Yarrowia lipolytica: one gene and its partners. The protein of the gene in region 1 interacts with the protein of each later gene in a pairwise test. Links are inferred from orthologs where the notes say so. Each region holds a gene or a part of one and is shown in the gene's direction. Other genes may lie near its edges. The genes, in order: YALI1_E34708g, YALI1_E25826g and YALI1_B07843g.

Region 1 (10,519 bases):
AACCACGATTCTACCGAGGACTCTCACACAGCTCTGCTCCTGTACAAGAAGTACCAGGACTGTGCGCCTGAAGAGTTCCAGGTACTGCTACTGGACGTTTACCGCCAGGGCCGCATGTGCAACTTCAAGGTGCCTGAGGCATGACAAGGGATTCCGCGAGGAAATCCACCGAAAAAAAAACCAACAGAAAATCCAAAAAAATGAATAAACTGATAGTCAAAACAATGCTAATAGCAAGAGCGTAGATTCGTAATGTACGACTAGTGAGATAGCGATGCCAGGATGGCATGTGATCACTTGGCAATTACTGTATAATGAAATTGGGTGGAGAATTGTGTTTGACTGGGAGTTGTGGCAAGTCCGATCGGCTCCGATTGTGTTCATGGTTACTGATGCTAGCATAACGTTATTTCTGAGGTTATCGATCATATCCTTAAAGGCTGAAGTCCACTATGCACGTTGTACTGTAGGGGCTACGAGTATAACACTGTTGTGGAAGAAATGACTGCTTGATGATTATCCCCCTCCGAATGCCACAGAGTTGGGAGGTTGAAGGATCTCACGTTAAACCACTACAAGTACGAGACAGTTGTACAAGGGGCATGTTGTATTATACGTATATATTCTAGGACAATATTGAGAAGACGTTTGCTTCCGTAATGCGATATTTGCTCGCCTTGCCTTTCAACTTCCTCCACCAAACACCTGTGGTCTGCACGCTCTCCACCGACTCATCCTCCACCCAACATATCCTCCACCCTACACCTGTGTATGTACGGACTCGTCGTTTCCGGTCAGGAACTCAAGAGGCGATTATGGTTCATGCTCTTTGTCGAAGAAGTCAGACAATGTGACATATATTAGTCCGATGGTTCTAATATATTGGCCCTTGTGTTTCAACCGACTCGGATATCTTTCCCATCTTCAAATAAATACCACTTGCACACCGGGGCTCTTGGCAAGGCTGTGTTGTCTTTCATCTTCCAACGAACCCAAAGGCACATTAGCAACTGGAGTGTGGGGAAGCATGCACCCTATACGCATGTCTATCATTACTCAACATCAGATCACACCACGCGACAATAAAAGACGACTTGACCATCAAATCTAGCAGCGAAATCAATGCACACAACCCGGGGAAGTACTTCTCTGAAGCCCATCTCCGTCAAGGAGACGGCCAAAAACATTGTGGACATTGTGGTGGACCCGGACTGTGCTAAGGATGTCTACGACCTAGGGGATCATGTCAAAGGCCACATCCTTGTGGAACCGAATTATCGGCACATTGCTTTCGATCAGCTGCGACTTTTTTTTACCGGAACACAGTGGACTATTCATCGGCGGGCTGCACAACGTCAAAAGGCCACTTATGTGTTTGTCAAGGAGGAATTACGCATGGATGAAGAATGCTTAGACACAGCTAATGGAGAAATAGTTCCTGCGTTGCCACCGACCGATCCGGGGGAGTTCCGAATAGGACAAAAATACAGATACAAGTTCGAGTTTCATATACCTGGAGAAATTTCGGAGGCTCTGGACAACGGCATAGCTCTGACTAAACGACTACCACCGAGTATAGGAAGCAACTCCATGTTCGAAGAGACTCAAGGAGAAGATATCCCGGGAAAGGTTGGTGGTATTCAATATGAGGTGAGGTTTCAGATCATGGCTGAAATCACCATGCGATTCTATCTCTATATTAAGGTCATCCCCGCATACCCAGCTGCCGTACATTCTCTCAACACAAAGTTCTTCTTGGAACCACAACCTTCGACATTTATTGCAGAGCGCAAGTTTGGAGGAGGGTTCTTGAAAAAGAAGCCAATGACGTATGTGAAGATGGGTATCAACACAACACCGAGTATCGTGGCTGGAGGAGCACCTACTCTGTACCTTGTTCATGTCTTGTCAGACAAGCCTCAGGTTCTCAAAAAGGCTTGGGCCACTGTCGAAGGTATTACTTACTGTTCTCTGTCAGGAATGCAGTTTATCCCCTCAGACTTACTGGTGAAGCGTTACTCTGATGTGCAAAGGATAGAAGAGATCATTCAAAGAAGTATGGTGGATCTGAAGATTGATTGGAATGACTCTGACTCGTCTGACTCGGATTACCCCTACTGTTCGGCTGTTCTCGAGATTCCAGTATCAGCATCAAAAACCATTATCCCTTCATTCTATTCAGCTCTCATTTCGCGTCAATATCTCGTGCGCTTTGATTTGGAGTTCGAGGTTGGAACAATGTCTTTGACTGTTCCAGTAGAGATCACCAAGCACAACAACAGAGACTACATGGCCAAGCTAGATAAAATGAAGGCTGACACGGGACGGTTTGTGGGGGATTTCGTGCCTGCATACTCTGCCCAGGACCCTCGAGGAGAAATCACACGAACAGAAAGCCTGAGAAGCGTCATCTTGTCGCCCGAAAAGGATCTTGAAAAACAGATCGTAGAACAACAACGATACAAGACATTGGTGGAAAGAAGCAGCATATCCTCAACACCAGCCTCAGCAAAGTCTAGCCATGTCAATTTATACTCCTTGAATGGTCACCCCGGGGTACAAGCTTCACCACTGTCTGCTCCTATGTGATAAACATAGTGAAGTAGCTACTAAGTACAATTAGAATACAGGACGTTTTTGGGCTATAAATAATATATAAGATACTAAGTACAATACAAGTTATACGCACAGTGAAATTACTCGCCATTCTTCATAGCAAGTGTAGCCCTTTGGGCCTGATTTGCCAGACCTTGACTCTCACTTTTAACTCCCTTGAAGAGGGTTGCCAGAATCTCATTGACATCTCCTGTAGGGGCCTGGAGGTCCTTCTGCAGCTGACGTTGTTGCACCTCTCTCCGCTTGGGATTCACCACTTTTCCATTCTCGTACCACCGGCAAATTTCATGTCGTTGAAGACCCTCCAGAATTGGATTGTAAAAGGTTCTCACGCTCTTGTACTGCTTATCGATAACCTGGTACTCAGCCTTGCCATTGGCCAGTTGATCCGGCATCTCAGTAGCAGGTAATCGTGGAGATCCGTGCTCGTCGATAGCGTTCTCTCTCTGAAGCCACAGCTTCTGCTGTGTTCGACTTCGCTGTTCTTTGCGAGGAGTGGAGTTGGGGGTTTTCTGTGGCGATTCGCTAGTGACCACGGTATTACTTCCCAGGGTGTGACCCGATGAGCCGTCAGGATTACTCAGCACGTGGTGGCTAGAGAGCTCGAGAGTAGGAGCCTTCTCGGTGGCCTGCTGACTTAACCTAAGCGAGTCATAGGACGAGTTTCTAGATGCAGGGGTCATTTTGTTGTTAGAGAGAGGTCCAAGGCTCCTAAGCAGACCCAGTCCCTCGAACGATGGGTTCCTTGAAGGATTTCGAGAAGGGTTTCTGGAATTTGCCCTCGAGGGATTACAGGAGTCACTGACATTCTTGAGCTCAGGGGAGTCGGGGAACTCTGACTCGTCGTACACCTCGCAGATATTCTCCTGGCTACTTTCGGGGTCTCTGGGGCCATCTTTCTCGACAGACTTACCAAGTCTCTTGTTGGTGATGCCAGGCGCGCTCTTGGGGCTCACGGGAGAATCAGCAGATCCAGGCTGGGCATGCTCATGGTGCTCCACATGTCCTCCATTCTCGTCGATCAGTACATGTTTCTCCTTGTGGATGTTGTTGCTGGTCCTGCGAACCTCTGGCTCTCCTGCCATCTTTTCCTGCATGGCCACCACGGCCTCCTCTCCTTCAGCCATGGTCTTCGACTCCGTGTCAGCCACCTCTCCGGGTATGTCGTTTGCGTAGACCCCATTCTGCTGGTTTGCGTCGGCCTGCTCCTGTTCATTGATCTCTGTTCCGATAGCCAAACGGGAAATGTCTCTTGTTAACCCATTGGCTGCAACTCCGTTATCCCCGTTATCCTCGTCAACCTCCTCCTCGTCCTCTTCCTCAGAGCCCTCATCGTCGCTCACAGGAAGTCCGATGACGACCTTGCCGCCCTGCCGCAAATGCACGGGTTTGTCCTGCTCCTTGGACTTCTGTTGCTCCTCGTTCTCCTTGTCGTTGGCCTCTTTTGATGAGGCAGGCTTGGGAGATGTCTCGTTGTGATTGAGCTTGTCGCTACTGGCGGAGGTATCCTGCTTATTGCTGTTGCCGGAGTTGGTTCGGGTCATGCTGAGATTTGGTCGTGCTAGCCGTTGAAGCGAGTCTGACGATCGAGCCTTGCGCTTAGTGAGACTATCGCCGCTCCCCTCCTTTTGGAGCCCCGAGAGATGGGTGGAAGAGCCGCGCATTTTGGTGAGGTTGCGGGCCGAGGCAGTTCGATGCTTGCTCGATGCCACGTGTTGTTTTTTGACTACCATGGGCCTGGTTTTTGCTGTTGCGACTTTATCGTGGGGTTGTCGAGGCTTTTCGATGCCGCGCATCATGGAGTACATGAGGCTCACGTAAGCAGAACCAGATATACTGTAGGCACTCGTTGCAACGCCTGGAAAGAAAACTGCAATTTGAGTAATCGGGCTCATCTAACTATTATGTATATATTTATATCTACATCCCATAGTTTTACCCTTGCCTTCTATTCAGTCATGTTTTTATGTCCTATATATGCCATTCCAGTCCCCACTTCAAATGGCTTCGCTCTTTATCTGCGTTGGCTCCGACTTCGTAGACTGACACCACCTACCCTAATCCACCATGTCTGACCTGCATAAGGCCACCGCTATCACACCTGCTAGATAGTATCTCTTTCCAGACGGTGAACGAGCAACCGACAGAAAATGAACGTCACGGAAACTGGTAAGGAATACATTACCACAATGGTCGGGGACAAGTCTGGCAAGCTCAAGGTGTTGCTGCTAGACGGGGAAACTACCCCTATAGTTTCCATGTGCACAACCCAATCGTCTCTACTTCAAAATGAAGTCTACCTGATAGACCGAATCGACAACCCCAATCGAGAGAAACAACGACATTTGGCGTGCATTGTGTTTATCCGGCCCAGCAACGACTCCATTGCCAAGCTGTGTGAAGAGCTGCGGAACCCTCGATATGCCTCTTACGAGCTCTACTTCTCCAACGTGGTCAAAAAGTCGCAGCTGGAACGACTGGCTGAAAGTGACGACTATGAGGTGGTCAAAAAGGTGCAGGAGAGCTTTGCTGACTTCCTGGCCGTTAACAAGGATCTCTTCAACTTTTCTCTCACCAGAAACTCGCTCTCCATCTACTCCGACGGAGGGTGGAACCCCGAATGTCTCAACAGATGCACAGAGTCATTGCAGGCTGTGCTGCTGGGTCTCAAACTGCGACCTCAGATCCGATACGACGCCAATTCCAATATGGCTCGAAAACTTGCCGAAGAACTGGCCTACGGCATCAAGCAGGAAGAGAACCTGTTCAACTTCAAAACTCCCAGGGACTCGGCGCCCGTCCTGCTTATTCTGGACAGAAAGAACGATCCCCTCACGCCTCTATTGACGCCCTGGAGTTACCAAGCCATGGTCCACGAATTCATCGGTATCGATAACAACCGAGTGGATCTCCGTAACACGCCTGAGATTCGAGACGAGCTCAAAGAAATTGTTCTTTCTCAAAATGATGATCCTTTCTTCGCTGACAACATGTACCATAACTTCGGAGACCTGGGCCAATCCATCAAGGATTATGTGTCGCACTATCAGTCTAAGACACAATCAAACATGGACATTGAAAGTATCGCCGACATGAAGCGATTTGTGGAGGAGTACCCCGAGTTCCGACGACTCTCAGGTAACGTTTCCAAACACGTTACTCTTGTGGGAGAGCTCTCTCGAATTGTCGAGAAAGGCCAGCATCTGGACGTCTCCGAATTGGAACAAACCCTTGTGTGCTCCGACTCCCACAATGACTCTCTCAAACAGATTCAGCAAATAATCGCAGCGCCCTCCATCTCCATGGAGAACAAAGTGCGCCTGGTTGCTCTTTACGGTCTGCGATACGAGCAAAAGGACAACAACTCTCTCAAGCTCCTGTGTGAGATGCTAGGACAGTATGAGGGACAAGACGCAGTGCAGGCGGCTCAGGCAGTCATTAATTTCGCATGCCTCGCCCAGAGACAAGAGGCTCTCTTTGAAGAAGGTTTCATCGCCAAGGCCAAGGGAAACATCATGGGTCTTAAGGGTATTCAGAACGTGTACACTCAACATCGGCCCTTGTTAGAGAAAACCTTGACCAATCTTGTCAAGAACAAGCTGCGTGAGGCTACACACCCCTATGTACGGGGAGCAGGCCGGGGCCCAGTTTCCAATAATGGAGTCTATGAGGATGACGTGCAGGAGGTAGTGGTTTTCATTGTCGGCGGAGTCACGTATGAGGAGGCTCGTCTTATTGCCGAAATTAATTCCCAGTCGTCTGTCCGTATTGTTCTTGGGGGCACTTCCATTGTCAACTCTGGCGAGTTTATTCAGGAGTGTTTGGACCAGAACCACAGAGGACTCTTGCGTGGCGCAGACCCCGAAACCCGACTTAGGCAGCTGATATAATTTATATTATTTTATGATTGATGATGGTGCACTTTAGGCATTGAGTGCCTGGGTCAAAATTGGTGAGGTTACATAGCAGATTGGAGATGAGTTGTACAAGCTACCTCATGCGGACATAAAAGCCGACAATAAAGGTTGTCGTAGTTGCTGCGTAGACTAACCCCCTGCACGTCAACAGTGCATTGTTTCCTTCTACACTTTCTATATTTGAACTGCCAGATATATACGAACAACATGTCAGGGGCAACATAACTGATTCCAGCCAGCGATACCAAAAACTGAATGAGAGCAATTTCAACCACCTCTCGAGCTGTCGCTTTTGGAACACTGGTGAAACATTGATACCTCTTGTGGCAAGTCCAGGGTACCATCGCTACCACCTTTGGAAAACGAACACTCTCTCTGACGATAAACCTCTGACGATAAGCATGTATATATAGGCCCCTTTGGCAATGACTCACTCTCAGACAAAACATCTACTCTCTCACTTTTGACTATGCAGCTTTCTGGAATCATTCTCACCACTCTTGTCTCTGTTGGCGCAGCATCTAAGGCCACCACCCTTGCCGTGGCTGCCACCATCCCCACAGATGAGGTTACTGCCGCCAGTGAGGAGACTCTTGATGATACTTACTACCAGTATATCAATAACCAGGTTATCTACCAGCCCGAGGACAACCGAAAGACTGACAACCGACACCAGGACAACCGACGGGGTGGCCAGTACTCTGACAACCGATCTGACAATCGAGATCAGGACAACCGGTACCAGAACAACCGAAACCCCTCTGACAACCGTCAGACTGACAATAAGTTCCAGGACCACCATCGGGATAACAGATTCCAGGACAACCGAGACAACCGTCATCAGGACAATCGCCACCAGGACAACGATGACAACCGTTTCCAGGATAACCACAAGGACAACAAGTTCCAGGATAACCGAGACAACAGACATCAGGATAACCGAGATGCTGATAACCGAGACAACCGTTTCCGGTACAACCATCAGGACAACCGACAGGACAACCGACAGAACAACCGACAGGACAACCGACAGGACAACCGACAGGACAACCGACAGGATAGCTCCCGAAAGCTCCCGCAGTCCCAGTATAACCATAACACTGGCCCCTTCATGGTGACTGTTTCCAAGCCTGGTGACAAGCTGCACAACCAGCAGCTCAAGGTTGTGTCCACCCAGATCCAGGTCGGAAACAAGAAGTACGGCGAGCACTTCACCATCAATCTCAACAGTCCGTCAAATATGATGGCGAATGTGGGCGGTGACACGCGACCTTCCCACATCAAGGTTGCCCCCAACGGTCAGCTACTTGTTGTTGCCGGTGCTCCTACTGGACAAGACACTTGGTCTTACTCTGGGAATACCAACAAGCAAATCGCCCTGTGGTACAATTCGAACTCTGGCTTCTTTGCCTGCCCCAACGCCAACGACCCCAGCAGCGGTGGACGAGTTGTTTACGTTGATATGGGCCAGAAACCCGTTTGTGGTCGAACTGCCGAGTATTTCAACCTTGTTGGTGGCTCAATGAAGTACATGGACTAACTTGATCTATATCAGATGGCTTATCACACGACACGTTATCACACCCATAGGTGCACCCCATGTTTTATCAATGTAGCTAACCATATAACTCTCAATTCTTTTACCTGATGTGCTTTTAACAGTGCCTCTAGTGTAAACTTGTTCAAGTACGAGTACGAGTAGCTACTATATAGGACAACCATATATACTGTAGGTCATTCTCGTGTCCCATTTCTAAACTATTTCACGTCACTACAAGTACTAATCCTAAACCGCCAGTGAAACCTCACGGAGGATATCACATGAACATTTTTTACTTTCTATGGAATGTATGACAGAAATAGGGCGGGCTGTGTCTGGACTAAACTGGACTCGAGCGTGCCACTTTGAATTTCTCAATTAACTCTAGGTTCTCGCAGTAACAAACAGAGGAACCTAAGACTCACCAAGCTTGACCTTTTGAGTCTTTTTGATGCCCCTTCGTACGGCATCCTTGATAGAGGCGGAGTCCATGGGCTTCAGTAGCTCAAAAGAACAAAGGAGCTGCTTGGACACGCACATGACAGCTCCCCAGTTGTCGAACTCTCCACAATAGTTGGGAGCGGAGAACACGGTGACAAGCTTTCGCTTGTTGAAGAACTCGTATCCGTCCTGCACAACCATGTGAGCTCGGCACACTAAATCAAATTTGAACTTTGTGCAGAATTTGTTGACAACAGATCGTCCAAAGCAATACGACACACCGCGGTCGTTCTCGCTCCACTCCATGATAGACCTCTCAGGGTCAGACCACAAGAGATCAGACAAGAGACCAACATCAGGGACGTTGGTGGGTCGAGTGATCTTTCGGATGTCGTCCATGGAGTTGAGGTAAGGAGACAGACCACCATGAACACAAAATATCTTGCCGCCGATAGTAGCCGCAATAGGAAGCGTGTTGAACGTATCGACAAACGACTTCCAAATCTTGGTCGTAGCTCGACGCTTGCATTCGTCGTAGAAACCATAAACCTTGGTGATGGAGGCACACTCATGGTTACCTCGCAGCATGAAGAAGTTCTCGGGGTATTTGACCTTGAAGCAGAAGAGCAGAAGGATGGTCTCCAGAGACTGTCGTCCTCGATCAACGTAGTCACCAAGGAATAGGTAGTTGGTCTTTGGAGGGAAACCAGACATTTGAAAGATTCGAATAAGGTCTCCAAACTGACCATGGATATCTCCGACAACCTTGACGGGTGTACCGAGCTCCAGCAGAACAGGCTGGCTCATGAACACGGTTCGAGCCGCAGCACAGAGCTGGACAATCTCGTTTGGTCGCAGGGGCACGGGGGCAGCTCCTCCAGATTTTCCTCCAGCATCGAGAAGTCGCTTGATGAAATCGTTGACATCAAAGGGCAAAGGCTGTTTCTTGGTAGCCTTCTTGCTGGAGGCTGTGGACGCAACCGAAGCTCCCGACACAGCAGGCTCAATTTTAGGGTTCTTGATGTTTCGTGCGGGGGATCCGGTGACACTATCAACAGACACACTCAATGACGACTGGTAGCCAGCAGGAAGGTCGACACGCTGGGGGGTTGAAGCAGAGGGCTTGGAGGACAGAGCCACGGCGTTAGCTCGAGAGGAGCCAATGTGGGTGGTGGGAATGGGAGACTTGAGGCCGGAGAGATCGGAAAGATCCTCTTCGGAAGAGGAGGAAGACTGAGAAGACTGGGGGCTCATTTTGGACTTGTCAGCGTTCTCGGGGGATGCGTTCGAGGTGGCCGAGGAAGACGCAATAGAAATGGCGGAAAGAGATCCCTCGGAGGTTACATTCGAGGTGAGTGATCCGTTGTTGTCGTGGTGAGAAACAGCAATGACAGGAGTGGCGACAGGGCCCGACGAGCCTGGAGGGGGGAGGGTGGTGGCGGGAGTTCTTTTGGCAGAAAGGAACTTCGAGTGCGCTAAGGAGTCATTATTACCTGGTATCGAAATGGGTTCGGTATGTGCTCCGGGGGCTGTGCCAGGTTCAGAGTTTGAGTTTTGAATGGGAGCAACTGGTGCGGTGAGTGACGAAGTCGAGCCCTCAGAATTGGTGGAGGCAAGTGAGGCGTTATCCGTGTCCGACGATGACTGCGAGTCATGAGGTCGGGAAATGACCACCTCGCCCATGGCTGCTACGAGCCCTGCTTCCTCTGCCTTGTCTCTGCGAGACTTACGCTCGGAACCTGTGGGGTCATGTCGCATATCAGTCTTGGCGGACTTCGAAGCCCCTGACGATACTCTTCGCTTGGGTTTGCTCATGAAGTCGGCTGCAGAAGCGTTGTCGATGGAAAAGTCGTGATCAAAGGACATGGAGGTTCGCTCCTTGCGAGAGCCTCCAGTCGAGGACTTGGACGAGCGGCTTCGTCCAGTCGGGGGTCGAGTTGAGGATGATGAGCTCTTTTGGTGGTGAGGTGTCTTGTTGTGGGCGCTCGTGCCACTACACCCACTA
Region 2 (10,790 bases), about 890 kb from region 1:
CTCTGTCGGTAGACGTGCTGCTGAGATGGGGCTCGGACGTGAAGATCACAGACACCCAGGGCTTTCTGCCATTACATTGGGGTATTGTCAACGGCTCGCGAAACTCGCTTGCCCGTCTCATCGAAGAAGGATCCGACATGTACGCCAAAAGCAGTGACGGAAAAACTCCCCATGTCATGGCCGCTGAAATGAACACCACCGCACAGCTGGAGGGCGCTCTCGACGACTGTGGACGGTTCCCCGACGGTAGCCAAAAAACAAAATACTTCGACGCCCGAACCACTAATCTCTTGTGTTTCTTCACCCCCTTCATTCTCATTTTATTGGGCCTGGTGCTGTGCACCTTCTGTGGCCCCATTTTTGGGATCATTCTCACCGTGGCGACCCTGTTCGGATCTATTAAACTGCTAAAGACACTTGTGCTACCGTCTCTTTACAACGGACATGCTGCTCTACTGAAATCACCCTTCCAGGCAGGTATATTCACGGGCTCGGCCTTCTGGGTGACAGTCAAGTACCTAACTTCCGTCCTTCCGGCTACTTTTGCCTCCCACCCCATTCTCAACTTTTTCTTCGCCTCCATATTTGGTCTGGCCATGTACTGCTTCTTCAGATGCATGTCCATGGACCCCGGATATATCCCCAAGCTTTCTGGCATCACCGAGCAGAAGGAGGTCATCGAGACGCTCATTGAGCGGGGCGAGTTTGACACGCGACACTTTTGTTTCGTTACCTACGTGCGAAAGCCGCTGCGGTCAAAGTTCTGTAGACAGTCGAAACGAGTCGTGGCCCGGTTCGATCACTTTTGCCCCTGGGTGTGGAACGCCATTGGAGTCCGAAACCACCGCATGTTTGTGCTCTACGTGCTGTTTCTGCAGATTGGCATTCCTCTCTGGTTGGCTCTCAACAGCGCCTACTTTGGAGAGCTGCTTGAAATCAAGCGATGGGATCCCCTGGAGTTCTACCTTGTCATCTGGATCTCACTGCAACTCATCTGGATCACGTTCCTGTCCTTTGTGCAGATTTTCCAGATCTGCAGGTCACTCACCACCTCCGAAGCCGTCAACCTGCAAAAGTACGGCTACATGGGTGCTGATGACTACTCGTCGGTCCCTCTAGACCACTCTGCCGCCACAGCATCAGCCAAGTCCGTTATGAACGCCCATGGACACGCTGCAAAGTCGCCCTGCTTTTCCTCGGTGCTCAAACTGCTTGGAGTCGATCAGTTTGTGGCTACTGCAGGTGAAGCCATCAAGCATCGGGACAATCGGTCGTGGAAGGAGAAGAACCCCACCGACTCGGGCGCCGGAACTAACTGCTTCGACTTCTGGTTCCCTAATGGCAAGTTTGACCTCCTGGCAGTGTTTGAAGCTGGTAAGGGTGGAGGAGCCATTGGAGGCCATGCGGTGGACTACTACAAACTGTGGGACTTCCCCGATGTGTCTCCCAACCAGCAGCAGACCAACAACCGGTCCACTCGAGAAGATGGAGAGGCTCTTCTGGCCGAGTCTCAAGTTTGAGCATTGATAGATAGAGGAACGCTAACGTATATAATAAGCTTGTATAAAGAGAGAGTGTGTGAGAAACGTACTTGTACTTGTACATGTGCAAATATTTGAGTATACAGTATGACAGAAATTCATTTTTGAGTACTCCTTGTACTTCTCATAAGAGACACTCAAAACTACAATCAATGTTACTGAGTTTTGTTGAGTCTCTCTACTACAAGTAGTAAGTACAAGTATGTACTAGTATTTATTTTTTAAACTTTCAGACGCACAAGTTTTACACCACCTAAACAAGATCACCATACTTGTACTTGTATGCCAAATAGCCATAACTCATAATAAATTTACAGTACAAATACATATCCAACCCATCCGACCATTAGTAATTCCCCTTTTCTCCTCTTCAAATCACATACTCTCCCTGTTCCATCAACTGCAATGCTTTTTCCGTGGGGTTTCGAACCCGTCCTGACCGGCTCGTTGGAGACATTGAAAACGACATACTGAGAGGCTCCTTCTTCACTTTTGGAGACATCGATGGAGTCTTAGTTGCTGCTGGACTCGGTCTCTTCGCCTCAGGTGTCTTCTCGGGAGGGATTTCTTCTTCCCGAGAAGACTTTCGGGGTCTACCTCTTCCTCTAGGAGTCGGCGTGGACCCAGCAGGACTAGGAGTAGATGCATCAACACCGTCCGCAACTCTGGTTTCAGCCACCTCAGCCTCCTCCGCCTCCTTCTGTCTCCTCTCCATTGCCAGCTTTTGCTTCCAATGTAGCTTCTTCACCTTCGGGGTGCCTGTTGACGGAGTTTCTACTGTCGGAGTATTTACTTCCACTTTCTCATGTCCCACGGTTCCCCTTCGAGCTCTCTTCCAAGCTCGTTCCTCTCGTGAAAGCTGAGCCACATTGTCCCGCATCTCAACAGGCTCAGGAGCCGACTTTCTCGACCGCTTGGGTTTCTCCGGCAGCATAGAAACCCGTCCAGACCGTGTCTGTCGACCGGCCTGACTCCACTTCTTCAGCTCCTTCGGACTCATGTCCTCAATGCGCATACTGGTGATTTCCTGGGCAGGCTCCTCTTTGGTGTACTCCCACGACCAGGCCAGCGACTTGCGCTTCTTCTGCACCAACAAACCGTCCTCCTCGAAAATCTTACGATTTTTGGCACCAAACTGCTGAGCCACCTGTGGCTTGGAGAGACCCCAGTCCTCGTCCTCAAGCTTCTTTGGAGGCCGCATCATTAGCAGACACAGGGGAAGGGCATGCTTATGGTTAGTATACGGCCAGGCAAAGCTGTGGATAGCAGCATGTCTGTGGCACCGAGGACAAAAGTGGCCAAGTGTCTTGGGCCCGTCAGTGAGATTGTAGACTGAACAACAAGACACGCACGTCTGCGTTGCCCCAGAAACGGAGAAGCCATACACCCCCGTCAGAGCATACCTGGAAGGATCATAGGCCTGTTCCCGAGCAGCCTTGCACAGTCTGTCAAAGCTGAGATCTTCCTGGCTGAAAGACCATGATCCTGAGTTCTTGCGCTGAGCCCGTACATGTCGTTTGGACCGTTTGGAACGAGAACCGTCACCGTCGTCACGAGAAGACTCCTCATCTCGCGACATAGCAGTGCTATCGTCTCGCGACTCACTGCCGCTCACCAGGCAGCTCTCCATATCCTCACTTCCGCCTCTCTCGTCTAGAACCGACAGTCGGTCGTTGAACCGCACTCGTTCGTCCGTGTTGTGCATGCCAAGATAGTGGTGGTTTCGTCGGGCACTTTTTGGTTGAATGAACGGCGGAACTTGTGATTCGGGTGATGTGGTGGTATCTGGGCTGGGTAGAGACGGGAACCTGATTTCAGCACTGGCCCCATTCAAAATGGGGTCGATCGTTGGGTCCTGAAACTCATTTGACGACTGCGACAAAGCTGTTGTTGATTCATTAACAGGAATAGCCTCTTGAGCAGGAACAACAGTGGACACCTCAGTGACAGTGGCTTCAGACACTTCTCCAACAGGTACAGGGAGAGGGGTACTATCTGCTGTGTGAGACTCGATTTTAGGGATCAATGGCCAGTTCTTGCTGGTGGAGATCTCAATAGCTTCTTCCGAAGTTTCTCTAGATGATTCTGACGAGCCTCGACCTCCCTCTCTGAGTTCGGGGGTCCCTCCCTCTCTCTGCTCTTGCCGTTTCTTTCTCCGTTGCAGTTCAATTTTTGTTAGCTCATCCATGTCGTCGTCGCTCTCCTCCTCACTAGACTCCTGTGGGCTTCCATACAGGCCTCTGGAGTTCTCCTCGCATGTCTGGCACAGACACTCCTTGTTTCTGCGTCCGAAATAATTTTCTGCGTATTTGACAGTGATTTCGTCGCCCACATTGATGGGCTTGACAGCCTGGATCACCATGCCTGAAGGAACAGGAACAAACCGAGCGTTGGCACTACAGTCGTGGTTGACAAATCGAGCAGGGCCTAGCATGAGACAGTTTCCGCCTCTTCGTGAGGAGTGGAGCACAGAAAAGTCGTTGGCAAGGGCCAGCTCTTCGTCCTTGGTCATCTTGGCCAGACAACCAGACAGACCGACAATCTCGTCTCCCCGGTTGTATCTGACTCTGGAGATGACACAGGACTCTCCTCGGTTGGAGCGGCACTTGTAACGCATGGACACGTTGATTTCAAACCCGCACGACGCCTTGTAGATGGTCAGGTATCGAACTGTGTGTCTTTGGAACTCTTCGTAAGCCAGTGGACTAAGCCGTCCTCGGTATCCTCTGACCTCCTTGAGCTCCAGAAACGCGTTGGTGGCCTTCTTCACCGCCAGATTAGCCGCAGCTCCGGTCTCGCAGGCGGCAATGGAGCGCACCAGGTCGTGGATATGACGATCTGAAATGCCGCGTAACGGCTTGTAGTGCACGGAGGCCTTGCGGACCTCGGCCCAGTAGAATACGCGCTCCAGCAGCAGGTCGGTGAGAGCGTCGTCGATGGTTGCCAACTCCCCGGGCGTGACCGTGATCATTGTGCTGTTGACGGGTCGTTAGATGGTCGTTAGTATGGCTTGTGTACAGCTTTGAATTTAGCAAAAGATGCGTGCTTTCATGCATGTGGGGGTCACAGTGGTGTGGTTGTTCTGAAGGGTGTGGGGAGAGTGTGTATATAAGAGGGTGGTTCCCGGGTGAATATTCGACATGGAAAACTCGTTTTATTTCTTTCAGGTGGTATTTACGTCGTTGCCAGGGGTTTTTCTGCTCTACAACTTGTGCATTAACTGTCACCCATCTGAGCTACTACTCCTCATGCGCCCTACACCCATAGCTGACTGACAAGGGTGATTCATAAAAGAGAGCTTGTATGAAAGACTGTGTATAACAGATATGAGGCTCTACAGTATGAGGCTGTGGTTACCGAGCCGGGTTGTACCATCACTTTTTATTGCATATCCTGTAATAATCAGAAAGATGGTGCAAGAACCAAAAACAGCCGTATATTCGTATGTACTCGTTCTTGTTCTATCTGTCCTGTCACACGTCAGCGGAAACTAGCCAACTAGTGGCTTATAGACGTGTTTTGAGAGCCGTACTATACAGAATCGTATCTCTGTCTCTGTTGTTTACGACTCTAGAAACCAGAAATGGTTTCAGAGTGGTCTTCAGAGTGGTCACACACAACCACTTATGCCCGAACTGCATCCCATCGCATGTTTCAGATCAGGCCGAGACGGTTTAAATCGGGTTTAAATCACCCCAGAGCGTTTGAATTCGATCTTGAGGGGATAACGACCCACCAACTAACGACATACAAGTGCTACTGGACGAGGTTGAGTACATTTACTGTATACAGTACCAGTGTTAAGTACCGTACGGTACTTGTAGTACTGTCAGAGTTAGAGGCAACAATATTTACTGTTTTGGTGTGCAGTACATACGAGTGTACTACTGGAATCGACTGAGATGGGGGGGGGATGTAGAGAGTCATCGTTGGGGTATCCGTACAGTATACTTGTACCACTGTGCAGGTGTAGATCTGTCAAATGAAAGGTGATTAAAGACTTCTCCATATCAAATCCCTTCTTTCTTTTCTTCGGAAGCCCTATCTTTCCGCAACTCCAGTTTCACCTTGTTGCTACAGTAAATAAACGCTATCCTTGACTTTCTTTCAACTAAATTAGGTGCAATGCTTACCCAAGTTTGTTAGCCGTCTACACCACAGCATCGGTCACAACTCCACCAGTAGACTAGATATACAAAATCAAAACACATATCCGCACTCCACGTAATCACTAAACCTCAAAACCTGCCCTACCTTTTCAACAACTCCCTAACCTGCCGACCCTCACATGCAACCCCGCCATATTACTCAGCTTATCACGCACCACCCACAAGTACACTCTATTTCAGCATGCGCAAAAAACGAGTGATCGGAACCAAGGTGGAGCCGGTGAAGGAGCCCAAGGTGGTGCAAACAAGCGCCGCTCCCACTCCGCCACCCCCGCCGACCCCGCCGGTCGTCTCCACGGCGTCCCCAGGCCCCGAATCACACTCAGCCACTTCGCTGACATGTCCGATTTGCGAGGAGACAATGTTGACGCTGATGCAACTGAATCGGCACATTGACGACGTACACGGTGATGGCAAGGTAAAGGGCAAGACACGGGCGTCCAGCGAGAAACCACACACGAAACCGCGACCCACCGACGAAATGGTGACCAGACGGCACTGGAAGCACCCCGGACCGGGCCAAACATGCCACTATCCGGACTGCAAACGCAAGCTGGGAGCCAGGAACGGCTCAAGGCACTGCCGACATTGTGGAAACATCTTCTGCCACGGCCACAGTCGCTACAGAATGAAGTTGAGCCGAGATGCTCACCACCAACCAAAGGGCGGTATCTGGTGTTGGGTGTGCAAGACTTGCTACACGGGCAGAGAAGGGTACAATGACACGACAGGTACTGAAAGAGATCTGACGCAAGAGTTCAAGAAAAAACGCCAGGCGAAAATCGACATCCAGGAGCTGTCCGTCAATAAGCTGGAAAACAGACTGAGACGACTTGCGGAGGAAAGCATAGAGAACGAGAGCTCGGGACCCTGGTGGAAACCCAAGGCGGCTGTCACAGCCTCAGTACCATGGCAGGAAGACTCAACACAGCCCAATTGTCCGGAATGCCAGGTCAAATTCACCTTTCTGATCCGCCCTCATCATTGCAGGGTGTGCGGAAAGGTGGTGTGTGGACAGACATCCACACAATGTTCTCTTCCTGTTGGTGTGAACATTTTAATCAACAGTCTCGATATGAAAGAGGAGTTCAGCGACACCATTCCAACAGATTGCGAACCCATACGGATCTGCATGACTTGCAAGAATACAGTCTTTGGTAGACGTAACTTTCAGCGGGATGTCAACTCCGATCCCAGCGAGCTGCTTAAGCTGTACAACACCATGACCCATCTGACCACTTCCATCGAAAACATGATGCCTCGGTTCCAAAAGGAGCTTGAGGAGACGATTGCGTCCAAAAAGATGGCCGGTATGCATCCCAAGGACATTTTGGCAGCGTCCAAGCTGCGTAAGCGTCTTCTCGATACCTTTTCGCAGCTAGATTCGGCTGCTAGAAGAGTAGGAGCACTGGAGGGACTGTCTCCTACAGAAGAGCGAATACAGCAACAGATATACACAGCTGCGGTGTCATTTCTACAAGAGAAGATGCTGCCCTTGAAAACGCTTCCCAAGGTGCTGGGTAGTGAAGCTACAGCCCCCGAGCCAGCTAAACCCCGTCCTCCTGCCAACTACAAGGCACTTCAGCAACAGCTGGTGGTCATGGAGGAACAGAGGTTTATGGTGGAGAACATGATGCTGGAGGCCAAGCAGAGGCGAAAGTACGACGAACTGGGGCCTTTAGAGATGTCTGTGAAGGATCTCGATAAAGAGATTGAAATTCTGAGGAAGAGGCTAGGAGATGAAGCATTTGTTTAATCTCAGTTTAGAGCAGCACCACGAAGGAATATTTGTACTCATAGAAAGTGCTAGCGACCCTATGGCATGATACTGTATGTATCAGAACAGTAATGAATAATGAATGATGACAATTATGTATATTACTTGTGGCGGATTCGGTGACTGTAGATAATTGTACAAGATACAACTATACTTGAACATCACATACGAGTGCGGAACATTTCAGAACGTGAAAATGTTCTGTGATTCTAGATCAAGTCTGTAATTACTCCATACTCTATCCAACATACATTAGCTATACTTGTCCTTCTAAGACCGATCGAAGAGCCCATCATCATCATCGTAGTCGTCTCCTCCGCTGACGGACCAATCGTCCGAGTCGCCCATTTCGCTGTCATCGTCATCATCGTCATCTTCGTCATGGTCGTCAGTGTATTCGTCGGACTCCATCAAACCCTCCAAGGACAGCTGTAGCATGGTTTCGTTCTTGGCCACCTTGCCAGCCTCCACCTTGTATCCTCCTTCAACATTGCAGCCTGTGAGTTTGGCCTTGGTACCGACTGTGGTCTTAGTTCCGACCAGACAGTTCTCCAGAGTAACGTCATCGGCAATGAAAGCGCCGTCAAAGATGACACAGCCGTTGATTCGACATCGTTTGCCGATGGTGCAGTTGTTTCCAACCACAGATCGCTTTATACTGGTTCGCTCGCCCAGCTGGGTCTCTTCGCCGACCAGAGAGTCGACACCAACAGTGGCAGCTCCCTTAACAGCTGGAGCGGGCTTCTGGGCAGTGGCGTTGGCCTTGGCTCTTGCCTTCAGAATCACTCGGTTCATTTCCATGTATGCAGACAGGTTGTTTGCTCGTGCAAAGGTATTGGAGTCCAGAACGCACAGAGACACAGACTTGAGCGGCTTCGCATGTGCCCACGACCGTCGGGCAATGTCTCGAACCACTCGGTCCCACTGTCGGCCTTTGGCCAGAATGGTGTGTGCCTCCTCCTGTTCTTGTCTGACAGGCGACGAAGATCGGGTGTCGGGATCTTCGTCTGTGGAATCCTCCTCAGGGGCAGCCTGAGTCTCGGTGATGACTCTACACACGTCGGCAGTGCAGAAGTAGACGGACGCATTGAGCAGCTGTGTGGAGACCAAAGACTTAGGGAAGTGCCACAGCATGGATCGGCGGATGGGCATGGTCTTCTTGTTCTCAATGTAGTCACGCGAATACGAGTCCAGCAGCCGCGGGGTTCGCGAGTCCAGCGATGAGTGCACCGTCACGTCCTTGAGCAATGACTTCTTGTCCACGTTCTCCAGGGTATTGGGGTAGTAGAAGGCTGTGAGAAGCGAGTCCGAGTCTCGGCTTCGGTAGGTGTCGACCAGCGAGCTGGCGGGAATGTCTGTGATAAAATCGCAGCAAACCACAATGAAATCAGAGGGTTCCCCTCGAGTCAGCTCCAGAATGAAGTCTCCAGACTTCGCATCGGTCTTGGAACAGATAGTCACGTTGGAAGCCACAACTGAGGTGGAGTGCTCAGCCTTGAAAGAGTCCACGTAGGCGGAAATCTCCGCCTCGTCAGCTGTAGAACAGCACACAAACACCTTGGGGTTGGGGATGGTCTCACACCATTTGAGGGTGTAGTCGATCACAGGCACGTTGGCCATGGGAAGAAGGGCCTTGGGCACTCCAGACGCTCTCACGGACGAGAGAGGTGCCATGTTTTTGCCCTGGCCGCACAGAATGAACACTTTGAAGTCGGCTCCCATTGTAGCAGAGGAGATTTAGCACAGAGTGGTGGTGGTGTGTGCTTTATGTGATCTTTTATGTGCTTCTTTTCAATGCTAATAAATTTCACTGCACATGGAGCTTGCATCGGAGTTTATTTGACGGGGATGGCGGTGTCTGTAACAAGATGTGGAGATATCCTATCGATAAGATAATGATGGAAGCAGATTGTCTGAGAAATTACAAGAAGAATGCACTTTTCAGATTATATGTGGGATCTATATTGGTAGAGTTGGATAGACCTATATTCAAAGTCATTCTGAAGTAAAATGAAAGATAGTTCAACTGTTGGGTGAAGTAATGTGACAATTTGGTTAAGTTACTTATACGCTTATGTAATCAATAATTAGATGTACACCTCTTTCTCCTCAATGGGGTTTCTCACTTTATTTATGGATTTGTCATTGTGTCTATATTACAGCACATCAACTACGGGTACCTCTACTAGATCTGTGGTTGCATAACCACCAAGAGCGAATGGGTCCACCCATACCCATCCAGACTCTGTTACCTCACGTAATCCTGTGGAAGGTGTCAGAATACGAGGTTTTAGAGTAGTTGTGGAGTAATGGGGATATTGAGAGCAATAAGTGAGGAATATAAAAGCGATTGATGATCATTTATTCCCCGATATTCTGTCTATATTTGTCATTACTGTACTCTCACCTTCACTCACCTCGCCACCATACGCCACTCTTCTACCAAACACTAATATTGGGAGGTGCATCACCACTTCACATATTAGAACCTCAACGCTCCAGTTACTACATCAGTACAACACACCACAACACACACAACATGGAAAACGACCCGCTGCTCGCAGCTCTCAACCAGGAGGCGCCCGAGGTGGCTGCCACACCCACAGATCCCGAGCGGGAAAAGGCGATCGAGTCGTTCAAGAGAAAACTCAAGGAGCATCGAGAGTACGAGGTCAAGCTCAAGGACTTGCGACTGGGCATCAGAGACCTCGAGCGCAAATTCGACAAGACCGAGGACGACATCAAGGCGCTACAGTCGGTAGGCCAGCTGATTGGCGAGGTTCTTAAGCAGCTGGATGAGGAGCGGTTCATCGTCAAAGCCTCCAACGGCCCCCGATACATTGTGGGCTGTCGGTCCAGCATCAAGAAGGAGAAGCTGCTGCAGGGTGTGCGTGTGTCTCTGGATATGACCACTCTGACTATCATGCGAATTCTTCCCCGAGAGGTCGATCCTCTTGTCTACAACATGACCACGTTTGAGCCTGGAGAGCTGACCTTCTCCGGTATCGGTGGCCTCAACGAGCAGATCCGTGAACTCAGAGAGGTCATTGAGCTGCCTCTGAAGAACCCCGAGCTGTTTTTGCGAGTCGGAATCAAGCCTCCCAAGGGTGTGCTTCTGTACGGCCCTCCCGGAACAGGAAAGACCCTGCTGGCCAAGGCCGTGGCCGCCACTATTGGCGCAAACTTCATCTTCTCGCCCGCCTCAGCTATCGTCGACAAGTACATTGGAGAGTCTGCCCGTCTGATTCGAGAAATGTTCGGATACGCCAAGGAACACGAGCCCTGTATCATCTTCATGGACGA
Region 3 (9,618 bases), on another chromosome or scaffold:
GAGAATGCTGTTCTTAAGGAAGAGTATGCAAAGGGGACTGCAGCTGCCGAGGAGAAACATGCCAAGGAGATGGGTGCTGCTAAGGAGGAGCATGCCAAGGAGCTGGTGGCGATCAAGGAGAAGCACGGCAAGGAAATGGCTTCTGTCATGGCTGAACATACGCAGACTCTTGCCTCCCTTGCTGATGATCACAAGCAGACCACCTCTGCCGCACAAGAGGAAAACAAGAAAGCTCTTTCTACAGCCCATGAGCAACACAAGAAGGCTGTTTCTGATCTTAAGGAGGAGCACAAGCAGACCGTTGCCTCAGTAACAAAGGATTATGACGGCAAGGTGTCTTCACTGGAGGAGAAGCATGTTACTGCTATGGCCTTACTGAAAACCAAACACGAGGGTATGGTTTTGTCCCTGAAGGAGGAGCACGCCAAAAGTCTTGTTGCGTCTAAGGAGGGCTTTGAAAAACATCTTGCTGGTGTTAAGCAAGAGCACACTGAGGCTCTCGCTGCCTTCAAGTCTTTGAAGGAGGAGCACACTGCCGAGGTTTCTGAGATCAAAAAGACTCACGCTGAGGAGACGCAAGCTCTTAGAGATGGTTTCAGTTCCCTCACCGCTGTCGCCACCAGCTTGGGGGACCAGCTGCATGCATCCGAAAGTACTGTTGGTGACCTGGAGAAGAAGTTGGCCGAGGCCACGTCTGTTCTAGAGCAGACTGTTTCCGATGCCAGCGTAAACATCAAGGAGTCGTGGGAGTCTACAGTTTCTGGGTTGAAGCTCGAGTCTGACCTCGCTGCTTCTAAGAAGGAGCTGAAGGAAGTTACTGAGAAGCTCACTGTTGTCAAGGAGGAGCTCATTGACATCACGTCCAAGTTGACTGAGGCCAAGAAGGAGCACATAGAACTTACTGAGACAGTGTCTGAACTCCAGGCCCGCAAGAGTGAGCTCACCAATGCCAACGACGGTGCCAATGAGTGTCTTCGGATCAGACTGGAGTCTCTCAAGTCTCTGGAAAACCGTGTCAAGAGTCTCAACGACAAGACTCTGGACTCTCTGGTGGACCGAAGCAAGTCCATTTTGGGCTCTGCCACCATGTCCATTCTCAACAGTGGACAGCTCAACTCCCAGGGCCAGCCCACATCGTCGAAACGAAATCTGTCTCTTGCAGGCAACGTCATTCGTGAGTCTGCCACTTTGTTGAAGCCTGATCTTGACGATGAAGATAAGGAGAACCCTATCATGGTCATGAAGCGGGGCATGGGTAGTGTTGGAGGTAAGGGTCGAAGTGTTAGCATGTTCCATGATGCGCATAATGCCTAGAAATTCTATGTAAATGACGTACAGTAGATCAATACTAGTATCATATCATATCTGATCCAAAATTAGTACTCGATTGAAATATATATATGTACATAAAATGCAAAGCCGCTGCTGTATCATCTGGACTAAAACTTTTCCCGTCCAGCCTTGTTCACACTTCTGAAGCTTGCAACACCCCACTCTCCCAGCACTCCGAGAGCAGACACTCTCCATCCTCTGTAAAGATCCTCCAGGGGCATCTGGCCAGACAGCAGGTGCCACCAGACAGCCACAGTGGAGGTCTGGACAACGGGCTTGACAATCATGGCACCAGAGGGCAGATCCAGGTGGTTCACTTGTGCTCGTCGCAACATAGTCTCCAATGGCAGCTTGACGATCATGGTCACGTACGCGCTGGCCAGGTTGAACAGTCTGTCAAGCACGGGGAAGTGGTACGAGTCAATGCCCAGCTTGGTGATTTTCCAAAGAGGTAGAGTGTGTCGCACAATAGATGTACAGAAAGAGCCGAGGAAAGTGGGCACCAGCAGCTCGGGAGGGCACAGAAGCGACTTGAGCTCCACGAGCGACTGTCGCACGGAACGGGGCTTGGTGGAGAGTGTAGACACAATCAGACGTGTTCGGATGAGATCGAGAGGAGCCACAAGGAGAGAGGTGATCACTGAAGCGCTGACGGCTACAACGATAGAGGTGATGGGAGTAGGGGAGTGAGCGACCTCTTCCAGAAACAGAGGGTCCGGAGAGTTAGAAATGGAGCTGAAGAATCCAGAAAACCATGCCTCCAGAGTCATTGTAAGAGCTCCAAGCAGGAAGGAGGCGTTGAGAGCTCTCCATGGTCCCCGAACTCCGTCAACCTCGTTGAGAGCCAGCAGAATGTCCCAGTTGCGTGTAGTTCGGGCCTGTAGCTGGCTATGGTAGTTCTTGAGGAACTTCTTGAGTCGCTTCTTCTGGTCAGGTAGAGGGTCTGAATCCAGTACAATAGGGGAGTCGCCTCCGTGACTATGATTTCGGCTGTGGGTTCGAGGACTCAAGTCTCCCAGCGTTTCTCTATGGTTGCTTTCGAAATAGTCAATCTCTTCGTCCTCCTCTCGCTCCTCTTCCTCCTCAAGAGCCACTTCAATAATGTGGTCCTCGACCTCGGCCGCGCTCTCCACTCGTTGCAAATGACTCCAGTCTCCTACCTGCAGCAGTAGCTTGCTGACCTCCCAGGGCTGACTCAGAAAGGTCTTGCCGTAGAGCTGGAACAGCGAATGCATGGCATTTCGAACCGACTCGGACGTTCCGGTAATGTCGTAGTCAATCTCAATGCCATCAAACAGATCGCCGAAGTTGTGGTTGCCCACATTGCGGGTCAGTCGGCTGCTGTTGCCACCTTCAAAATGTGTGTAGGACCCAGAGGTAGTGGCTCCGCCAGGTGCGTCGGAGAAGTTGGGGAACTGTCGCTTGGTGTACAGCGTGCCTGTTCCAAACGTATCGGCGTTGTAATAGGGCCGTAATGTGTTGTCGGTCGCCATGGTGGTGGTGATGATAGCGATAGAATAGTACGATTAATCTCAGCTTGCCATATGCACAATTTTAGTTTAAATGGGACAACAGAGTTGGGCCAGAATCCCTGTGCTGGAGGTTGCTGGGACAGCTCGAGTACCAGCACTTGTAGCAAGTGGGTTGGTGATGGCGGGGCTGGTTTGTGGCCCGGATTTTGGGGTCTGGGTCTTCTTTTAATACTTTTTTTCTTACAACTCGCTGTTTGCTTATATAAGCAGATATGATGATCAAGGCCGCGAGGTATATAAAAATAAAAATAAAAATAAAATAAAAATAAAAAATGGAGACTTTCAAGGAAGAACGAGGGAATAATACGTTAAATATACCTCTATTGGAGGATATTTGTATAATACAAGTACAAATACATCAGGTCAGTTTGAAGTCACGTGATGACATTAGCGGTTTGTCGTATCATCATCCCATATAACCAGCATAACCAGCTTACAAGTACAAATCGTACAAGCACTACAAGTAGTACTCTTACTAATGTGTCTTTCTCAGATCACTGACATTTGCCAATCTATACTCTTCAAACAAAACAAATACCAATATCATTATAATTTACATGATGGCAGAAACAAGCCTCGTAGTTACCATTCGCGCCCTTCATTCTACCAATCCATGGCCAATGCACCTTACACGCGATGGTGCACTGTCTCGATACCCTCCTATGCAATGCAATCACTTCTTGTAGTTGATGAGGAACTCCCCCAGAGCCCGGACGGGGTCCTCAGGCTTGTCCTTGGCAATCTGTCGCATGCCAGCCAGCAGGGCGGGACTCACCTCCTTATTGAGCCACAGTCGCGTAGGAGCGCCGTAGTTTTCGGCAGGGTTTGGGAGCGAGGCAGTGGAAGCCGTCTCCTGCTTGATTGGCTCCGCCGCGGGTGTGGATGTGGAAGTTGGTGGGGTAGCCACCGCTGAGGGAGTGTGTGTAGATGATATTTCAGACACGGAAGCAGCAGGGATGGCAGGCTCGGGACCAGGCTCTGTCTTGGCCACAGCAGTCTCCGGAGCCGCAGCTGCAGGAAAGGCGTCAGTCATGGGTGTATCAGCCATTTTCTTGTCTGTATTCGATGCGGGAAGGGATTGTGGAGTCGTCTTTTTGATTCTGGCGATGTCAGCGCACTGTCTTAATAACGAACCTTAATCCCAAACTCTATCCCCCACACGTTATTCGGCTCGAACTAATTAATCCGAAAGCACCTTCTCCACTCCCCTTCACTTCACTCCCCTAAATGGCCACACCACTCCCCTTTGATCTTCCGCTGGAAAAAATTGACGAGCAGGAAGGCGAATGCATTCTCATGGGCTTCAACGCCGACTACGCGTTCGAGCTGGGCTCCCAGATCCGAGAACGCGCCAAGAAGGCAGGCAAGTGCATTCTGATCGATATTACCACCGTCACCGGTCTCACCTGGTTCCGGGCCGCTTCCGGACTGGGAACCAACATTGATAACCAGCACTGGGTGTCCCGAAAGCGAAACGCTGTTATTCGATTCGGTCGAAGCAGTTTCTTTCTGGGATGCAACATGAGACAGAAGGGCCGAACTCTGCAGGAGGCCTACGGAGTCAGTGACACTGAGTATGCTGCTCACGGAGGAGGATTCCCCATTCGCGTCAACGGAATCGAGGGCCCCGTCGCTGTTGTCACTGTCAGTGGTCTCCCTCAGGTTGAAGACCATACTCTTGTCTACCAGTGTCTCCGTGACTTTGCTGCCCAGCAACGAAAGGAACTGTCCTAACTAATTTAAGACTTTTGAGATGTTGATATTTCCCATTGCTAAGTACATCTTACACACGCGTTTTCGGGCGGCATCTAAGCGCTGGACTCCCCAATTACTTTTCGGAGACGGAGCGAGTGACGTGGAACGTGATTATATAATGGACTAAAATGGTGTTGCAGCTTCAATTTGATCTATAAGGAGGTGAAGGTGCATTGAGTAAGTACACCAGATCATCTCTGTCTCTACCATTAGCCCATACTTGTACTCGTACTCGTACTTGTACATAATCTCTACATGTGAAGGTCTCAGTCTCCCCCAACAAATTAAGGTTGGCTGCGGATATTCCCATTATTGCAGCCGTGGCATGAGGTAGCACCAGTATCATACTCCACAACAACTTTTCTCGCACAAACACAATGGATCCTTTTGTACAAGTCTGCGCGGATGCGCAAAACCAGCTGACGCAGACGCGAGACCTGCTGGAGCAGTTCCGGTCGGACCCTTCAAACCACAATACCCTTCAGGATCTCACAAACATCACAGAGGAGCTGGCAGAGACGATATCCGACCTTTCACAGTCCGTCGAGGCCGCCCAGGGCCGACCACAGCAGTTTGGTCTCAGCAGCGAAGATATCCAGGACCGTAGCAAGCAGGTTGCTCAACTCATGTCGCAGCTGGGTCAGGTACAGAAGGAGGTGAGCAAGATTCGGAACACAGGCACGCCACATGGCATCTACTCCGATGAGCCAGACGACACGGAGGCCCGAACTGCAGGGCTCACCCAGCAGATGTATGCAAGCCAGATCGAGGAGCAGGACAACGCTCTTGATGGCGTCTACAACACGGTGAACTCGTTGCGGGAACAGGCCAACGTCATGTCGCGGGAGCTGGAGGACCAGTCGTATCTCATTGATGACCTAGATCGTCACGCCGACTCGGCTGGCTCTCGGTTACAGCGTGGTCTTAAGAAAGTGGATTGGGTGGTGCGAAAGAACCAAGAGACTCTGGGTTCATGCTGCATCACTCTGTTGATTGTGGCCCTAATCATTCTGCTTGTTCTGCTCATTGCTCTGTAAGGGCGTTGTAACGTCAATAGCTTAACAGATAACGATTTACGATTGAACTAAGTAAGGGTACCACGCACATCAGTTTAGTGGTTCTTCTCCTCCCGAAGATATCCACTCTGGGGGGAGGGTTTATGAAAGAACACTCGCATTGGAGCTTGGGGCACAACTCGCAGAGTCAGTGTCGTGAGGAGAAACGGCTACGACGAGCTATTATATTTCCACTTCAATTCCCTTTCGGAACCACTGTCCGTGTTTCCGTCTCCATTTCTCCTATTTATTCCTCCCCTCTATGTGCTTCTGCACGTTGTGTGGGTATAAACCACATTTAGCCATAATATTGAGGTTCCCCCTTACTCATATAGACATACAGGAGATTGATTGACTGTGATAATAATTGTTTGTTGTTGCTGCCTTTTCCTGTTTTTTCAATTTTTTTCAATTTTTTTCAATTTTTTTTCAATTTTCAATTTTCTTTCAAATTCTCAATATTTTTTCGATTTTCCGAATTATTCTGGGCATTTGACTCGTCTCTCTTGCATCACGGAGCATGGATGCGCCGAGCTCCGTCCCAAGTCGATCGGACCGTGTCTTGGTGGTGGGATACATCGGAGGATCACTCCTACTCGTACAGTACAGTAAGCGGATTGCAAACCGGGTAAGTTACTATAGAACCGCTGCAGCTGGGTATGTATTTCTAAGCAGTTCCTGGTATGTGAGTTCCGCATGCGTCTTTGAGCGGCTCGAAAAACCGGGAAAAAGAAACAAAAAACACAAACCGGGTCAAGCCCTGTAGGGGCTAAGCTGGTACTTGTTTTTGAGACCCGGTGGACGTAAATCGAGCACACAATGTGCTTGTGTCCCTGAGTCAGTCGTTGCCCCCCCCTCCCTCCCCCCAGTCGGCACTTGACAAGCCCCCATTGGTGCCAAAAAATAGTCTTCCGATTGCTTCAGTCAACCTAATGCGACACACACACCACATGAAAAAGAAAGCAAGTTTCGGCGACCGTATCCCCTTAACAAGGGCATACAGCTAATATGGGTGACATTGTACCAGCACGAGCAGGAGGCGGTACCTGGCTGCGGCCGCAACGGTTTGGGGGGGGATTGCGCAACCTTATGCGACCAGTGCAAGTTGGGGGACGTAATTTCGTCGGGTGGATCCGCAGCATTACAATAGAGGGGCTAAAAGGTAGCTTAGCGAAACAACAAGAGGAACCGCAGACGGTTTTGGAGGGAGAGACTAGCTACTGGATTGTACCAACAGGGGACAATCATAGCTGACGTATGCACTGTACAAGGACCCTGATACCGCCGCCGGTAGGGATATGGAGATAAGTTAAGTGACTCAGGCACCCCTGACAGATGACGATGAGAAACAAGCAGGCCATTGTGGTGTCACATAACGCGCTTGTGTGGTGATGTCTCACTCGCCTCACACGATAATCTGACTAATTAATGTGTTGGTCTCAGGCGATTTGCACAGGAGCGCCGGTATCGCAGGGGTCCGCTCAAAATCACATCAACGGAGATTGACAACCCCGGCGGCAGCGGAAAGAATAGCCGTGCCACCTAAATGGCAACTCCGCGATTGACGAGACCACGAGATAAGAGCCTGTTGTGCAGCGCGCTAGGCCGGAATACACACAATCGCATGCCTCGCATGCCTCGATGGTTGCCATTTCCGTCCTGGTACACGGTCTTCTTAAGCTATCGGAAGCCACAAGTGTACGATGCATACGGTAGGAGCCTGACGGAGCCTGACGAGCGGGGTGGCTATTTGCAAGCCGGTCTCTGCTATGATACATGGTGTGGCGAGTGTGGATCTCGCCAAACTTATTCCCTGAGGTTGCCTATCGTACCCTCCTCCGCCCACCTTCCCCTCCAAGCTAAACATCCCAAAAGGACCTTTTGGGCATTTCAAGGTATTTCCTTACCCTCATATTTAAACAATAGTCACCCCATTTCCACCTCCCAGTGCACGTTTTATGCCTGGCTGGAAATTTAATTGGCCGTTTGTAAGCATTTTCATGTACTGCGATATATTACCATACAGGTCTCTTCGGGGGCGCATCCACGGACTGCAAAACCAAAAATAAAATAAAAAAATAGACACAAAACCCCGAAACAAACCTGGAGATCCGAAGCTCTGGACACAAGATCAACGTCGAAGCCTCCACCCGCACTGACTCCCCCCCCCCATATATATCCTCGTAGCCTCCTCAACGTGGTCTCTCTCTCTTTCTTTACTCCCAGCCCTTTGACTACTAGAGAACATCTTATTTCGCACAGGCCTAAAAATTCTGCGCGACCCTATGCACAGGAGCCGACATAACGACACATTATACTGTGATAAATAGCATTGAACGGTCAAACGCAGCACCCCAACCCCACCAGGTCATACGACGTCATCGCGATATATTAGCTAGGGCGACAGCTTGCGTGCCTTCTTCCTCACACCCAACAGCACGTCTTTCGACCCAGTGCGCCACGACGCTGGACCAATTATACACAATCGACAGGGAAAAAGACAAAAGTCACTTTGTAGAAAAACACACATCCACATACTACACACTCACTCACCCTCACACACACACACACACACCACATTCACACTCACCCACACACACACCACTCCACACCAGGAAACACACATACCCACAGCCACTTCACTCTTGTCCGGCAATGTCTGAAAAAGAAGAAATTGTCATTGTGGGCGCCGGCATCATCGGTGTGTGCACGGCATACTATCTGCTGAACCACCCCAAGTTCGACCCAAAGAAACACCACATCACCATCATCGAGGCGGTACGAGCGGCTGGAGGCGCCTCCGGAAAGGCCGGCGGACTGCTGGCTCTGTGGGCCTTCCCGTCCCAGATTGTGCCCATGTCCTTCGCCCTACACGAAAAATTGGCAGACAAGTACAACGGAGCGGTGGAATGGGGGTACAGACGGGTCAGCACGGTTTCGGTGGAGGGCAATCTTATGAAGACCGGCCCCGCCCCCCTGGGTAGAAAAGTGGCTGGCAGAGCCCCCACACACTCATCGGAGAAGGGCCCCGACGTGGACTTGCCTGAGGACCTGGACTGGATCCGGCCCGAAGTTATCGACTCGTGGTCACATCTGGGTGGCACCGACTCCACCGCTCAGGTGCACCCCTTCAAGTTCACAACATTCATCCTCAAAAAGGTGCTCGAGTCTGGCCACGCGACCCTGGTGCTGGGTTCCGTCAAGCGAGTCAACACCCGGTTGAACGATGATGACGAGGAGGAGGCTATCTCAGTTACATACACGGCATCCCCCGGAGACGAGCGCACGATTGCTGCATCCAAGGTGGTTCTGGCCGTGGGACCATGGACATCCAAGCTGCTGCCCACCTGTCCGATATCCGGTTTGCGAGCACACTCCATCACCATTGTGCCCACCAAACCCACCACAGCATATGGCATCTTCACAGAGCTGCGAGTGTCGCGAAACCGATACGTCAGTCCCGAGATCTACGCTCGAAAGGACGAAATCTACGTGTGTGGCGAAGGCGACTCGCTGCCTGTTCCGGAAAACACAGACGCAGTGGAGGTAGAGCGAGAGCGGTGCGACGAGCTGTTCAAGTGGGCTGGAGACCTGTCGCACCAGCTCAAGAACGGAAAGGTGCTCAAACGTCAGGCTTGCTATCTGCCGGTGGTAGATGTTCCTTCGTGCACTGGCCCCCTGATTGGCGAGACCACCACATTGAATCTGTTTTTGGCATCGGGACACTCGTGCTGGGGTATCAACAACGCCCCAGGAACTGGACTGCTCATCGCCGAGCTGCTTCTCGATGGCGAGGCCACTTCGGCAGACATCTCTCAGTTTGATCCCAAGCTGTATTTCGACTCTTCTGAGTTGTAAGCTACCCGCTGATAGAAGACATGGAGGATGCACATTACAGGACACATACACACGGCGCACACATACCGACCGACCAACCCCAACTT

What was found.
Region 2: the proteins of YALI1_E34708g (region 1) and YALI1_E25826g interact in binary tests that used the Saccharomyces cerevisiae proteins (3 or more experiments, as listed by UniProt). The link is inferred for Yarrowia lipolytica from reciprocal best matches to the Saccharomyces cerevisiae genes VPS45 and PEP7.
Region 3: the proteins of YALI1_E34708g (region 1) and YALI1_B07843g interact in binary tests that used the Saccharomyces cerevisiae proteins (3 or more experiments, as listed by UniProt). The link is inferred for Yarrowia lipolytica from reciprocal best matches to the Saccharomyces cerevisiae genes VPS45 and TLG1.

What each region holds. Positions count from the first base shown.
Region 1 is NC_090774.1:3,465,110-3,475,628, reverse strand, and holds YALI1_E34708g (uncharacterized protein), read left to right. Parts: upstream 1-4,766; coding exon 4,767-6,506; downstream 6,507-10,519. Other genes in the region: YALI1_E34784g (uncharacterized protein), read left to right, coding at 1-144; YALI1_E34745g (uncharacterized protein), read left to right, coding at 1,123-2,589; YALI1_E34711g (uncharacterized protein), read right to left, coding at 2,697-4,511; YALI1_E34686g (uncharacterized protein), read left to right, coding at 7,003-8,073; YALI1_E34650g (uncharacterized protein), read right to left, coding at 8,488-10,519. UniProt on the Saccharomyces cerevisiae protein: Essential for vacuolar protein sorting. Function in membrane traffic between the Golgi and the vacuole.
Region 2 is NC_090774.1:2,576,746-2,587,535, forward strand, and holds YALI1_E25826g (uncharacterized protein), read left to right. Parts: upstream 1-5,891; coding exon 5,892-7,466; downstream 7,467-10,790. Other genes in the region: YALI1_E25761g (uncharacterized protein), read left to right, coding at 1-1,520; YALI1_E25812g (uncharacterized protein), read right to left, coding at 1,912-4,512; YALI1_E25859g (uncharacterized protein), read right to left, coding at 7,758-9,209; YALI1_E25866g (uncharacterized protein), read left to right, coding at 9,841-10,790. UniProt on the Saccharomyces cerevisiae protein: Required for vacuole segregation and vacuole protein sorting. Possibly part of a complex which tethers the vacuole membrane to microtubules, either directly or via kinesin or dynein-like motor proteins.
Region 3 is NC_090771.1:779,682-789,299, reverse strand, and holds YALI1_B07843g (uncharacterized protein), read left to right. Parts: upstream 1-4,996; coding exon 4,997-5,656; downstream 5,657-9,618. Other genes in the region: YALI1_B07915g (uncharacterized protein), read left to right, coding at 1-1,314; YALI1_B07864g (uncharacterized protein), read right to left, coding at 1,440-2,825; YALI1_B07853g (uncharacterized protein), read right to left, coding at 3,538-3,912; YALI1_B07852g (uncharacterized protein), read left to right, coding at 4,092-4,598; YALI1_B07809g (uncharacterized protein), read left to right, coding at 8,330-9,532.